2 linked regions of the Stegostoma tigrinum genome follow. The protein of the gene in region 1 purifies or fractionates together with the protein of each later gene. This does not show direct contact. Links are inferred from orthologs where the notes say so. Each region holds a gene or a part of one and is shown on either strand. Other genes may lie near its edges.

Region 1 (7,496 bases):
TGGAACAAAAACACCAATGTGTGTTTTGTGATAAGATGTAAAAGATAGTGGTGAAATAAAGCATCCTTACCTCGTGGAAGCTACGCATTGTATTCTGATCACTTCTTGAGTTAGCCATTGTTATGCATTTTATAACTGACTTTTGACAGCAAAACATGTATGAGAGCCTTCCTCTAAATAGTTGTTTTTATTAACAATATTTTATTAATGATAAAACCTAATTCTAATTAACAGTGGTTGGGAAGGTGACTGTGGTGTTCCTACTTGACAGATTAATGTGCAAAGAATCACTGACCAAAGTAGTAAATGGTCAGAATAAAGGTAGAGCGCATGGAGACTTGAGAGTAAAAACCATCAGTTCATTCAGAATCCATGTTGCCATAGCCACTTGAACATTTGTATGCATATTGTAGTCTGGATCCGCAGTCATGATAGATGTTCCAGCATTCTTTCTGTCACATGGTGTGTGTTACAGGTTGTTGCTGAGAGGAACATACTGGATTAACTGAAGTGCACACGAGCCAAACTCTGCTGGGGGAGCAAGGCAGTGGTCAGCAGTGACTTCAAAGGAGCAGGCAGGCAAAGACATCTTTTGCACTGGGGATGGAACATAACAGTGTGATGAAGGTTCTGTGTTGGGAAGAGTATAGTGGTCAAGGCTGACAGGTGTCACAGGGAAGGGGGGATAGTGAGGTTGACAGTGAATACAATACTGGGAGGAATGAAGGGAAAATGAATGGGAAGATGTAATTCAGCCCCTCAAATCTCATCCATTCGATTAGAATATGCCTAACCTAGGCCTCTGTTCCATTTACTTTTTTTTGTTACTGTTTATATATATTAATCAGCCTATTTTGAAAATTAGTTAGAGCATTCATAGGCTTTAGACAGTGGGAGAGGAATTGAGGTTTAGTTTTCCAGCAGTCCTTAAGTAGAAAGACTGAAAGAACTGCAGATGCTGTAAATCAGGAACAGAAACAAAGTTGCTGGAAAAGCTCAGCAGGTCTGGCAGCATCTGCGAAGGGGAAAAAAAAAAGTTAACATTTTGGGTCGGGTGACCAGCTCTGAGGAAGTGTCATCGGACCAGAAACATTAACTTTTTTTTCCCCAACCTCACTGATGCTGCCAGACCTGCTGACCTTGATAACAAAGTGTGGGGCTGGATGAACAGCTGACCTTTTCCAGCAACTTTTTTGTTTTTTTTCCCTTAGGTAGAAAGAGTCTTTCCTGACTTCATTTCTAGCCTTGCTTTCATTGTAAGATTGCACTCCCTTTTTTTCCATTTCTTGCTATCTATCTTATTTCCTAATCTATTTCAAATATGTCTGCCTTAGTCATCTCTCAACTTTCTGATCTCCAGGAATACAAACCAAATTTATGCAATAAGTCCTCATAATTTAACCCCCATAAATTCCTTCATTTTGCTGTATCTGTTTAAAATTCTGTATAAACCTTTTTCTCAGCTGAACTTGGTATGCCCAATGATGAACTCCTGAGCAAGACTGTGTAACAATTGAAGCATAACTTTCTCATCTTTCTGTTCCTTTCCTTACCTTAGGTGTTTTGGGATAACATTCCATTAGATGTTGATTGACTTTTGACTTTTTTAAAAAAAGAGTAGCTTCTAATGATTTTTGTGTAGTAAACCCCACAAATCCTGCAGAGACGTCCTGGAGCTGAGATAACTGACCCATTTTTGTGTGCCAGGCATGACTCCAACCAGCAGAGTTTGCCCCCTAATAACTATTGTTTCCAGTTTTGCTCAGGCTCCTTTTTAATGCAGCCTTGATGTCAAGGGCTGCCACACTTGCCTCACCTGACGACAGGTTTGGAATATCCTGTCAACAGGTGGTTTGATAGCATAATGAAAGGTTGAGGTGTAAATACCACCTCATGTCATGTCTTTAATGTTAGGCAATTCCTCAGTATCAAAGTTGATTTACTTCCACTTTCATTCAGTGGTCCTGAGATTAAGTGCAAGGCACAGTCTGAAGACTACTGTAGGAGGGACAGGTTATGCTTGGAGGGTCTCAGGTGAGTAGTTTGGAGGTTTGTGCACTGTCTGATGCCATGACGCAACTTGAGCAGCACATCTTGAGAAAGAAACAAGAGTTTCCCATTGAATTTTCAGCAGGCCATGGACCTAAAAATGTTGATTCTATTTCTTTCCATCCTTGAATAGGCTAAATGGCAAAACATTGGAAGAGCCAGAGTAATAAAGATTTAAGAGAATTAAATGTTTTCTATGTATTTATACATATCAAGTAGAAGACAACCTGATGAAGTCGGAAGAAGAAATGAACTCTCTGCTTTGTTTTAAAAAGAAGTATAGAGTATAAAAATGAAGGGTTGTGCTAACTTTAGACAAAGCAGTTGTTTATGTTAGGAGCACAAAAGCTGATGTTTTGGGCCTAGATCCTTCTTCAGAAAAGGGAGAGGGTGAGATGGTTCTGAAATAAATAGGGAGAGGCGGGAGGCAGATCGAAGATGGATAGGTGGAGAGGAGACAGACAAGTTAAGGAGGTAGGGAGGGGACAGGTCAAAGGGTGGGATGAGGTTAGTAGGTAGGGGATGGGGATAGGTGAGAGGAAGAACAGGTTAGGGAGGTGGGGATGAGCTGGACTGGTTTTGGGATGCAGTGGGGCTGAGGGGGAGATTTTGAAACTTGTGAAATCCACATTGATACCATTGGGCTGCAGGGTTCCCAAGCAGAATGAGTTGCTATTCCTGCAATCTGTGGGTGGCATCATTGTGGCACTGCAGAAGGCCTAGGATGGACATATCATCTAAGGAATGGGAGGGGGAGTTGAAATGGTTCGGGACTGGGAGGTGCAGTTGTTTATTGCGAACCGAGCAGAGGTGTTCTGCAAAGCGGTCCCAAAGCCTCTGCTTGGTTTCCCCAATGTAGAGGAAGCCACACCGGGTACAATGGATACAGTATACCACATTGACTGATGTGCAGGTGAACCTCTGCTTAATATGGAAAGTCGTCTTTGGTACACTTGCCCCCATACCTCGTCCCTCACCCCCATCCCAGGCTCCATCTTTCTTTCCCACCCCCACGCACCCCCCCCCCCCACCAAAACTTGTCTGTCTCCTTTCCGCCTATCTTCTCTTTCCATCTTCAATCTGCTTCTCCCTATTTATTTCAGCTCTGCATTTCATCCACTTCCACATTTTGTAATTGCAGATGCTCCAGCATCTGCAGTTCCCATTATCTCTGATACTATATTACAACTAATTTTATGTTCCTTTTGGGACTAGTGTTAGAAGCATAGGGAAGGTGAGAACTTCATTAGAAGTAGGAGCAAAATTACTGCAGATGCTGGAATGTGTACCAGAAACACAAAAAGCTGGAGTTCACAGCAGGTCAGGCAGCATCCATGGAGAAAGCAAGCTAATGTTTGGAGTCTAGATGACACTTCATCAGCACCCAAAGCAAGTCTATTGTTGAAATACTAGACGTCCATAAGTATGCAGCTGATAATTGGCTGCAATGGAAATAAAATGTCATGGCAAATGTGTAGAGTTTAGTGATACGTTCTGTGAATTCTACGGTGGGATGGGTCAAATTGTGAATGACTAAGATTCATCTCCAGGCTTTAAAATCACAAAATTTACTAAGGTTTGTAAGTTTGTTAGCAGTTTGTTGTGGACGGACAGCATATGTTACTGTTCTAACACATATGATTTTGGGCACTGACAGCATGTATACAAGACAAAACACTGTCTTTCCCCATCATCTAGCCTCTTGGTAAATTGGTTATCGTGGTACATGAAAGTGTATTAACGTGCCCTGCTAAACATTTCTGGGGACATGATAGCTACTGGTCATGTCACTGGGGAAACTACTGCCCACTCAGTGTCACTGCCAAAAAGCCTCCACCTCATAGTGTGTTTCGTGTACAGAATGGGGTGTTCAGATAGATGGGGAAGTTGCTCCAAACCAGTCCATAGTCTTTGCAATACTAAAGACAAGAGTGATGTTTGGGACCTGTGATATACTGTCCTAAAATACTTTAATCCGGTGATTCTCCACAGCTCATTTTGATGCCTGATATTGGTTATCTACTAGGTCATTCATCATAGACCCACTTTCCCAATCCTTTTCAATTTAATTTTGAAAATGTGATTAAGTCCAGCCTCCTTACACTCTAACACTGATGTATGTATCCCACCCATACGACATTCCTGGTCGAGTTTTTGCCAATGCCAGACATTACGAATTCCATGAGGAACCTCCAATTCCGAGTTCCGATTCTATTTTTAAAACTAAATTTTCGTACGAAATTTGCTCCTCATGGAGAGCAGCAGTACAGAATGGGTTGTTACAGGTAACTCACACGGTTACAAAGCAGCGCAACGGCGCTACGTGGCGAGCGGTCGGGCTGAGGCGAGGGTTGGCGCTGCGCTGGGAGGACCGAACTCAGGCAGTGGAGATGGGCGGCGCTGCAGTGGGAGGACCACAGTCGGGTGGCGTGGCTCTAGGAGGACCAGTGCCTTGTGGCGCTGTGCTGGGAGGACCCAGGGTCAAGCAGTGGCGACGGGTGGCGCTAGGTTGGCATGAGCCGGCGTTTCCAGGTGAGTGTTAGGTGGGATATTGGAGTTATTTTTGTGGATGTAAAGAGGGGATGGAGCTTTATGGGTTACGTAAGAGACTAATCGGACACTGGTGCTCCCTTTCTGAGGAACGAAAGGCTACCGGTGCTCCAGATACATGAGGGAGGCCAAGGGAAAGCAAAATCCAGCGGGAGGCTGGAAAAACTGAACTCCAACAGAAAACGCTGGAAATATTTAGTCACTCTGGAAGCAGTTTCAGTCCGGCTCCTTTTTAAACAGAAAAACCAGAGAGCTGCACTTTTCCCGATGAGAGACTCCGAACGGGCCGTTTCAGAAATTCGGGAGCCACACTTGCATTCTGACAGGGGCCTGTTAGAGTTGGCCTGACAATGGTTTGGGAAGTATGGAGGGTGGAATGGTCAGTGACTGTGGGGGTAGGACACTGGAGGAGGGGGTGTGGGGAGAGGACAGTGTGGGGTGGACAGTGGGAGTGGGGTGAGGACAGTGTGGGGTGGACAGTGGGAGTGGGGTGAGGACAGTGGGGGGTAGGCAGTGGGAGTGGGGTGGACAGCAGGTGTGGGGTGAGGACAGTGTGTGGTGGACAGTGGGTGTGGGGTGAGGACAGTGTGTGGTGGACAGTGGGTGTGGGGTGAGGACAGTGTGGGGTGGGCAGTGGGTGTGGGGTGGGCAGTGGGAGTGGGGTGAGGACAGTGTGGGTGGACAGTGGGAGTGGGGTGAGGACAGTGTGGGGTGGGCAGTGGGTGTGGGGGTAGGACGGAGTGGGGGTGGGCAGGGAGTGGGGTTAGGACGGAGTGGGGTGAGGACAGTGTGGGTGGGCAGTGGGAGTGGGGTGAGGACGGTGTGGGGTGGGCAGTGGGTGTGGGCTGAGGACGGTGTGGGGTGGGTGTGGGGTGAGGACGGTGGGGTGGGGGTGGGCAGTGGGTGTGGGGGTAGGATGGAGTGGGGGTGGGCAGTGGGTGTGGGGGTAGGATGGAGTGGGGGTGGGGTGGGGTGAGGACTGTGGGGTGGACAGTGGGTGTGGGGTGAGGACGGCGCGGGGGGTGGACAGTGGGTGTGGGGGTGGGACGGCGCGGGGGTGGATAGTGGGTGTGGGGGTGGACAGTGGAGGAGGGACTGTGGTGGACAGTGGGTGTGGTGGTAGGATAGTGTGGGATGGACAGTGGAGGAGGAGCTGTGAGTGTAGGACAGTGGAGGAGGGGCTGTGGGGTGGACAGTCTGGGGGAGGGAGGGTTGTGTGGGTAGGCAAACCACGCTCCCTTTCCCAGAGTAGTATTCTCAAGTTTTTTTTAAAAAAAAGGTCCTGCATCACAGGTACTCACCTTGCCGACTGCTATGTGAGCTTAGTGTGAAGTTAGTGTGCCATGAGGGTAGGTTAAGATCATAAGAAATGGGAACAGGAGTGAGCCATTTGCCCAGAGCCTACTTCACCATTCAATAAAACCACAGTTGATCGGACATTCCTGATGTCCATTTCCTGCCCTTTCCCTGTAACCCTGAATTCCCCAACTGATGAAGAATTTATCTCTCTGTCTTCAATTCCAGATGAGTGGATTGTTTAGATCAGGGTGAGTGGGTGGAATATTGGGTTCAGCAGTGCACAGTTGAGAAGGAAAGTGTAGTCAGGCCCAGGTAGGGGCAAAAGAATATGGAGTGGGGAAGGGGCTCGGGTCTGGGAAGCAGGAGTTTCGTAGGTTTGGGGTCAGGGGCTCAGGGAGATGGAGTGCTGATTTTTTTTTGGGGTCTTGTGGAGGTATGGTTTACCCAGTCATCATTCCTTAGGCCAGCTTTTAACTCCAGATTTATTAATGGAAATTAAATTCAATCACTGCTGTGGTGGGATTTGAATCTATATACACTAAGCATTAGTCTGGGCCTCTGGATTGTGAGCGTACTAAAACAAAAATTGCTGGAGGTCTGGTAGGAATTGTGGAGAGGAAACAAAATCAAGTGAACCTTCTTCAGAAACATCTAGATTACTAGTCTAATGACATTGCCACTGTACCACCATCTTCCCTCAATCCAGAAATTCACCAAAGATCCTTAGGCAGTACCTTACAAATCCACAATCACTTCAGTCTAGAACAACAAGGGCAGCAGATACATGGGAACACCACCAACTGCAGGTTCCCCTCGAAGCCACTAACCATCCTGACTTGGAAATAGATCAAAATTCCTTCAGTATTGCTGGGTCAGAATCCTGGAATTCTGCCCCTAATGGCATTGTGGATCAAAATCCTAGAATTCCCTTCCTAATGGCATTGTGGGTCAACCTACAGCAGGTGGACTGCAGCTCATCACCACCTTCTCAAGGCCAACTAGGGATGGGCAGTGAATGCTGGCCCACCGGCAATGCCCAAAACCCACAAGGAAATATGTTTTTAAAAAGGTTTTAGAGTAGATTTGTAGCTCAGGTTGTGGTTGGTTGGCTCGCCAAGCTGGTTCGTTGTCCTGCATAAGTTTCTTTAGCCTGCTGGGTAACATCATTAGTGCAGCTTCTGTTAAAGTGCTGTTGTTTTCCCACCTGTAATTTAAACTCTGGTGTCTGTTGAGCTGGATTACCTCACTTCTGGCTTTCCTTCGCAGTGAAGTTTATACCCTGTACGGAGATATTTAAAAATTAAAATACACAAAAATCTGAGAAGCCTTCACACGTTAGATGCTGAAAGCATGTATTGCTCGTATGAGAGATTAGAAGTGGAAGCATGATTTTAAAAATAAGGAGCCTGCCATTTAAACTAAAATGAGGAAAAATTTTTTGGTGACTCATGAATCTGACGAATCCTCTTCCGCAGAGAGTGGAGAGGGTAGGGTCATGGAACGTTTTTCAGGCAGAAGTTGGTAGATTCTTGTCTAATGTGAGAGTCTAAGGGTGTCAGGGAGTGGCAGGAATAGTGTTGAGGTCACGATCAAATCAA
Region 2 (7,309 bases), on another chromosome or scaffold:
ACCTTGTCAAAAGCTTGCTGGCAATCCAAATAGATCATATCCAAAGGCTGTCCTTTGTCTAACTGCTCCTTACTTCTCAAAGAATTCTAACAGATTTGTCAGGCATGACCTCCCCTTGTCAAAGTTGTACTGACTTAGCCCAATTTTACATGCATTTCCAAGTCAGGAATCTTATCATCAGCAATATCATCTTTTGTACTGGATTCTCAGATCTTCTCAGTGGCTGAGATCAGGCTAACTGCCAATGCTTTCCTGTTGTTTGCTTCCTTTCTTAAACATAGGAATTACATTAACCATTTTCCAGTACTTTGAGAGTCTCCCTGGCTGCAGTGATTCCTGAATGATCACCACAAATGCCACTGCAATCTCCTTCAGATCTCTGGGGTGTAGTCTATCTGGTCCAGATGATTTATCAACCTTGCAGCTTCCTCAGTATTTTCTCCTTGGTGGTGACTACTAAACTCACTTGGGTACTGACTCTTGAAGTTTTGGTATGCCACTGGTTTCTTCCCTGATCAAAACTGATGCAAAGTATCTGTTCACTTCCTCCACCATTTCTTTGTTCCCCATTACCACTTCTCTGGCCTCATTTGCCAGGTCTCCACTTTCCACTCTTGTCTCTTACAGTTTAGATTTCTAAAACAAATTCTTGTAATCTTACTCTCATATTTCATCTTCTCTTGCCTCCTTCCTGCCACCCCCATATTGCTTTTACAGTTGGCTCTGCTGGTTTTTAAAAGTCCCCCCAATCATGTTCATCTAATTGTGTACTTTTTGTTTTGCTTTTAATCTGTCCCTGATGTCTCTTGTCAGCCATAGTTGCCTTGTCCTCCCCTTAGTCCTTTTCTTCCTTGGGATGAATTTTTGCTATGTCTCCCAAATTACTACCAGAAACTCCTGCCCTTGCTGCTCTGCTGTCTACCCTACTCGACTGCCCTTCCAATCAACTCCAGCCAGCTCCTCCCTCATCTCTATAGTTATCTATACTCAATTGTAATACAATTATGTCTGATTCCAGCTTCTCCTCCTCAAACTGCAGGGTGAATTCTATCATATAATGGTCACTACCTCCCCAGGAGTTCCTTACCTTTAGCTCCTAAATCAAGTTTGCCTCATTACACATAACCAAATCCAGAATTGCCTGCTCCATAGTAGGCTGTACCACAAGTTGCTCCAAAAAAAATCTCATAGACGTTCCTGGAATTCCTTTTCTTGAGATCTGCCACCAATCTGATTTTTTTTTCCAGTCCACCTGCACACAAGTTCCCTGTGATTATTATAATACAGTTTTTCTTACATGTCTTTTCCATCTTCTGATTTATTTTCTTCCCCACATCCTGACTGCTAGCAGCCCTGTACGTGACTCCTTTCAGCTGGGGTGAGAGTGGGGCGTTCCTTTTGTATTTCCTCACTCTACTACCCAGATCTATGACGCTTCTTGCTATTGATTTTGATTTTATTTGTTACTAACAAGGCAACCTCGCCCCATCTGCCTGCCCTTTCGATAGTGCCATGTACCTTTGGATATTTAGTTCCCAGCCCTGACTACCTTGCATCCCTGTGATACCCACAACAATGTCCTGCCAATTTTGATTGCACTCTTGAGTTCATTTAGATTATTTTGTATGCTGTGTGCATTTAAGTTGGCACCCTCAGTCCTGAGTTGACTGCCTCCCTCTCATAGTTGTCCCCTCACCTGCTGTGCCCAAAATTAAGATTCCTGACTCTTTCCATACACCGTCCTGATGCACATTTTGGAAACTGTAATAACCTCTGCTGAGACCCCCTCCCGCCTTCCAACTTTTAACTCTTTCCATAATTTTCCATCCAACTGAACCCATCCCCCCCACTATTTAAAACCTTATTAATAGCCCTAACTATGCAATTTGCCAGCAGAGCCAACTCTAGTTGTTGCTGGAAAGTACTACATGCATGGTTTAGAGTGACAGTCTTCTCTTGTTGCCTTATCGTGGATCTGCTAAACGTTATCACAAATTTCATGACAAAATATAAGAATCTTGAATTCCTCTTTGAAAGTGGCAAGCTCATTGAATTATTGAGCTAGAATATGATTTTAAGCAGCTGGATATGCACAGCATGAATTGCCTAATTCTTCCCACCCCACCCTGTCCTGAAGAACAGTCACAGGATTCAAACTGTTAACACTCCTCTTTCTCTTCGCATAATGCTGTTGGACTTGCTGAGTTCCTCCAGTAATCTGTTATTGTACCACCAATTTAAAGCCCCCCGAAACTTTCCTCATCGGTCATTGAATGAGACGGCCACCATCAAATTTGTACCCACGTTTTCTGTTAACGGAATCGGACCCATTAGTCCAACTCATGCATGCTGACCAATTTACCCAAACTAAACTAGCCCCACTTGCCTGTATTTGACCATATCCCTCTTAACCTTCCCAATTTGTGCACCTGTCCAAATGTCTTTTAAATGGATGTGAGTTTGCTCGCTGGGCTGGAAGGTTCGTTTTCAGACGTTTCATCACCATTCTAGGTAACATCATCAGTGAGCCTCCAATGAAGCGCTGGTGTTATGTCCCGCTTTCTGTTTATCTGGTTAGGTTTCCTTGGGATAAATAGAATCTTCCTTGGGATTAACCAGATAAATAGAAAGCGGGACATAACACCAGCGCTTCGTCGGAGGCTCACTGATGATGTTACCTAGAATGGTGATGAAACGTCTGAAAACAAACCTTCCAGCTCAGCGAGCAAACTCACATCCAGAACCTCAACCTGAGCTGCGAATCTTCTCAAAACTCGCTGTCTTTTAAATGTTGTTACTCTACCTGCATCTTCCACTTCCTGTGGCAGTTTACTCCAGATGCAAACCACTGTCTGTGTGGAAAAAGTTGCCCCTCAGGTCCCTTTTAAATCTTCCTCCTCTCTCCTTGAAAATATGTTTCCTAGTTTCAAATTCCCTCACCCTACGAAAAAAAACTTTTGCTATTCACCTTGTCTATGCCCATCGTGATTTTATAAACTTCTATCATGTTACCCCTAATCTCTACGCTCCAGTGAAAAATGGCATAACATATTCAGTCTGTCCTTTATAACTCAAATCCTCCAGACCCAGCATCATCCTGGTAAATATTTTCTGCACCCTCTCCAATTTAATAATACCCTTCTTATAGCAGGGTGACCAGAACTGTACACAGTACTCAAGTGGCCTCACCAACATCTTGTACAAAACACATGACATCCCTGTACCCAGTGGTCTGAGCAAGGAAGGCAAGCATGCGAAACGCCGTCTTAACTACCTGTGATGCAACTCAGAATTATCTACCTGAACCCCTAGGTTTTTGTTCAACAACACTACCCAGGACCCTACCATTAACTGTATAAGTCCAGCCCTTCTTCGTTTTACCAAAATGCAAAACCTTGTATTTATGCAAATTAAAACCCACCTCCACTGCTCAACTCTTTTGGTGCAATGGATCAAAATCCCTTTTGTAATCTTAGAAAACCTTCTTCACTGTTGACTATCCCATCCAATTTTGGTGTTATCTGCAAACTTTCTAACTCTGCCTCAAATTCTCATCCCAAATCATTCATACTAATGACAGACAACAGTAAACCCAGCACTGAGTCCTGTGAAACACCGCTAGTCACAGGCCTCCAGTGCAAAAAAAAAAGCCCTCCTCCACCACCCCCTCTCTCCTAATATCAAGCAAATTTTCTATCTAGTTGTCAAGCTGTCCTTGAATCCCAAGTGTTCCAACTTTACTAATCGGTCTACTCTGCAAAACCTAGTTAGTAAAGTTCACATAGACAACATCCACTGCACTGTTGTGATCAATCTTTTTGGTTATGCCCACAAAAACCTTAATCAAATTTGTGAGACACAATTTCCCAAGCACAAAGCTACGCTGACTATCCCTAGTCAGTCCTTGCCTCTCCAAACACATGTAAATGCGATTTCTCAGGATCCCCTCCAACATTTACCGATGTCAGACTTACAGCTATGTAGTTCCCAGGCTTCTCATGTTTGTTGTCAATCACACAGCTGAAGGAGTTCTATATATCCAGCCCCTTATTGCAACATGAATGAAAGGTCTCCGGTAATGACTGCTCCTCTTGGGCATTGCCAGCTGCTGCCCCAAGCTTTAATGCCTCCCTTAGGACGTAGCTCTGGACTTTGGAATGAGCCAAATTGCAGAGGACAATTTTTTTGAATTGGAAGACCAATGCATTTCGGGCAGACTAAAGAGCTTCTTTCACCGAGTCAGTGATCCTCCAAGTGCTATTGATGTTCTTGGTGTACATTCCAGAGAACAGTCTGTGGAGCACTGGGTCTTTCATTGTGGAGCTGGTTAGGATGAACCTCAAAAGCAGCCAAATCTCCATCCGATCACACCTTCTACTGTGTACAGTTCTGATCATACCTAAGGAAGAATATACTTGCCTGAGAGTGAGTACACTGAAATTTCTTACATGAGGGAATTGTCCTAAGGAGTAATTAAGTAATAGACCTCTGTGGCCTAATGTTTAGAAGGGTGAGAGTTATATAAATGTAACACAAAAGGGACTTGATGGTGTATATGCTGGGAGGATAGTTCCCTTTGTGAGGTGGCCAGAACCAGGAGTGATAGTCTCAGAGTAAGGAATTAGCCATTTAGGATTGAGATAAAGGAGAAATTATCCACTCTTGGCATTATTATTCTTTTTAACTCTCTACTGCAGATGTCCAATCACTGAGGTATTCAAGACAGTTTGATCCATTTTTTTGGTATTCTGGGACTTGGATGGATGGTGCTGGAAGGTGGAGCAGAGATAGATCGGCCATGATCTTACTGAAGCTGGCACAGAGACCCAGCAGCCTACTGCTATTTATATTTCATAAATTTCTCAAACCAAAAACAATGCTTTACTGACAATGCCTGTGTCTCTGTCCTTGACTGGCTCCTTGGGCTGAGCGGGAAACGTAAAGCCTTGCAGATTACTTGACTTTTATGATCTTGGGGCTATCTAGTTATTGTAACCTATTGGTTAAACCATTCCTTTGAGTGAATGCTACCCATATAATTGTGTTTAAAAAGCAACTTCAATAAAATTCATTTAAAATGATTTTCTGAAGAAGGGTCCTAACCCAAACATCAGCTTTCCTGCTCCTCTGATGCTGCCTGGCCTGCTATGTTGCTCCAGCTTTGGCAGTTCTTACTATCTCTCAATAAAATTCGTTATTCTTTTATAAAAATGTAGCTAGTCTGATACACAAATGATCACAAAATCTCCCCATCTAATTAATTAGAGTATTTTTTGTAGTCCTTGTTCCTGTGATATTAGCGACTTGTCATATCTCTGTTACCCATCTAGACGAATCTTTTTGGATACATTTTTTCCATTGTGAACTTTGACTTGGTGTACAAGGGAAATTTGATTGTGTATCGTTTGGAATACGATTCATGGATTGATCATTGGCTTTCTGTTCCCTTGCAGTCATCTCGCAGCTCACAGGCAGCGGCAGCTACTGCTCCTGCAGCACAAGCAGTGTCTCGCCTTAAAAAGTTTGCGATTTACAGGTGGAATCCAGATAAGCCTGGTGACAAGCCTCGAATGCAAACCTATGAGATTGATCTAAATGCGTAAGTGTTCCAAGGGGAAATGCTACAGGGTATGCATTTGATCGCACTGGTCAGACTTTTACTGATTTAAATTTTACTGCAGTATGCCCTCTTTATTATAGTACTACTTCGGATAGAAGGATTTTGATTGATTGTTTTCAAGCAGAGGTAAAATGGTGAAGTGCAGTGATGAAATTGGAAAAGACCTGCTGACCTGTCAGGCCCACACCTCGGTAGTCCATAAGCACACTCTCCCAAGTGTAGTTAAACTTGGGAGTAAGATGAATGACCAGAGCAAAAACTACTAAGATCTCGAAACACTCTGGCTCCCCCGTGCCATTGGCAACACTTTGAGAAATGGGTCTAATATTACAGTCTATGTTCATTTCCTGATTATTTGTAATCTGGGAACTTTCCCCTCTTCCAGCAACAAAGGAGTAGCTGTCTTCCTTATAGTCCTTCTGTTTTACTTCTGTATTCACCTAAAAGTCTCATTACAGCAAAGATTGAACAGATGTTTTCTGGAAATGTATTCAGTGTGTGAAACTTTCTCAGTCCTACACCTGTCTATCTCTGGCATCTTCTACTTACTTCACCAAACAACTCTTGTGTTTCTGGCCTTTTACGATGTAAACTTTCAAATTTCCCTCCTGCAACATTGTTGACAATCCAACTCTTGCTCCTTTATTTAAGATGGACTTAAAACTTGGCTGTTTGAAGAATTGATCAGAATCCTAATATCTTCTTTGATTCAGACTTTGTGTTAGTCTGTTTAAGCTGCTGTGAAGTGCTTTGGGACTTGTAACTATACTAAAGATAATATACAAATACAATCTGCATTTGAGAGAATTGAAACTGATATTTCAAACTGTTGTGACACTACATATGTAGATGTGGTCCGATGGTACTAGACGCTCTTATCAAGATCAAGAATGAAGTGGACTCCACACTGACATTCCGAAGATCTTGCAGGGAAGGTGAGTGGTATTGTATATGAGTGATATAGTGACAGTGACAGATCAATGTCTGCATTTCTGATGAATCATTACAGTCTCGCATCTGTGAACATTAGTCAGGCATTAAGTGAGGTAAGAGTGTATATATCCAGATGTTTGTCCCATTTTTAAACTAGCCATCACTATAATTATGTGCCTAGATGTGGAGAGTGACAGAAAACCTTTTTATCACTGACCAGTAAATCTCAGACATTTGCAATGCCACTGTGGTGTCACCAGCTGTTTCAATGTTCCTTTGAAGGTTGTAGTTTCTTCTTGAAAGTATCCAAGCATGAATTGGTATTTATGACTGGCTTTTACTGTCACTGCCTATGCCTGCATCCACAAGGCTCAAATGTCCAATGAGTCTGCAACCAAGAATTTATTTTGTCGTTTCTTCATTGTTAGCCAGTGCTGTGGGATCACAACTGCTGGCTCTGTGACAGACGGACATGACCATCTTTGGAGTTTGTATGTCACTGAGAATCTATGACAATCATTTTATAAAGCAAAATTTTGAAAAATTGTAATCTATTATGTGCAAGGATTATGACACAGTCAAAATCAGACCTAGCTTATTGTCAAGCGAATTTAATGATGTCCATGTAATTTAAAAAAATGAAGGGTCACAGATCAGAGAAACTAAGGCAGCAACATTTTGGGAAAGGATGGTAATACTTTTCAAATGCTTGGAAGTGGGAAATGCTAGGATTGTGGAGGATCTTCTAAATTTGGC

What was found.
Region 2: the proteins of sdhaf1 (region 1) and sdhb purify together in Homo sapiens (co-immunoprecipitation; 3 studies listed by BioGRID and IntAct, with this or other methods). This does not show direct contact. The link is inferred for Stegostoma tigrinum from reciprocal best matches to the Homo sapiens genes SDHAF1 and SDHB.

What each region holds. Positions count from the first base shown.
Region 1 is NC_081392.1:9,598,499-9,605,994, forward strand, and holds the start of sdhaf1 (succinate dehydrogenase assembly factor 1, mitochondrial), read left to right. Parts: upstream 1-4,496; 5' UTR 4,497-4,581; intron 4,582-7,496.
Region 2 is NC_081381.1:32,415,425-32,422,733, reverse strand, and holds the start of sdhb (succinate dehydrogenase [ubiquinone] iron-sulfur subunit, mitochondrial), read left to right. Parts: upstream 1-4,308; 5' UTR 4,309-4,332; coding exon 4,333-4,425; intron 4,426-5,453; coding exon 5,454-5,599; intron 5,600-6,469; coding exon 6,470-6,555; intron 6,556-7,309. UniProt on the Homo sapiens protein: Iron-sulfur protein (IP) subunit of the succinate dehydrogenase complex (mitochondrial respiratory chain complex II), responsible for transferring electrons from succinate to ubiquinone (coenzyme Q).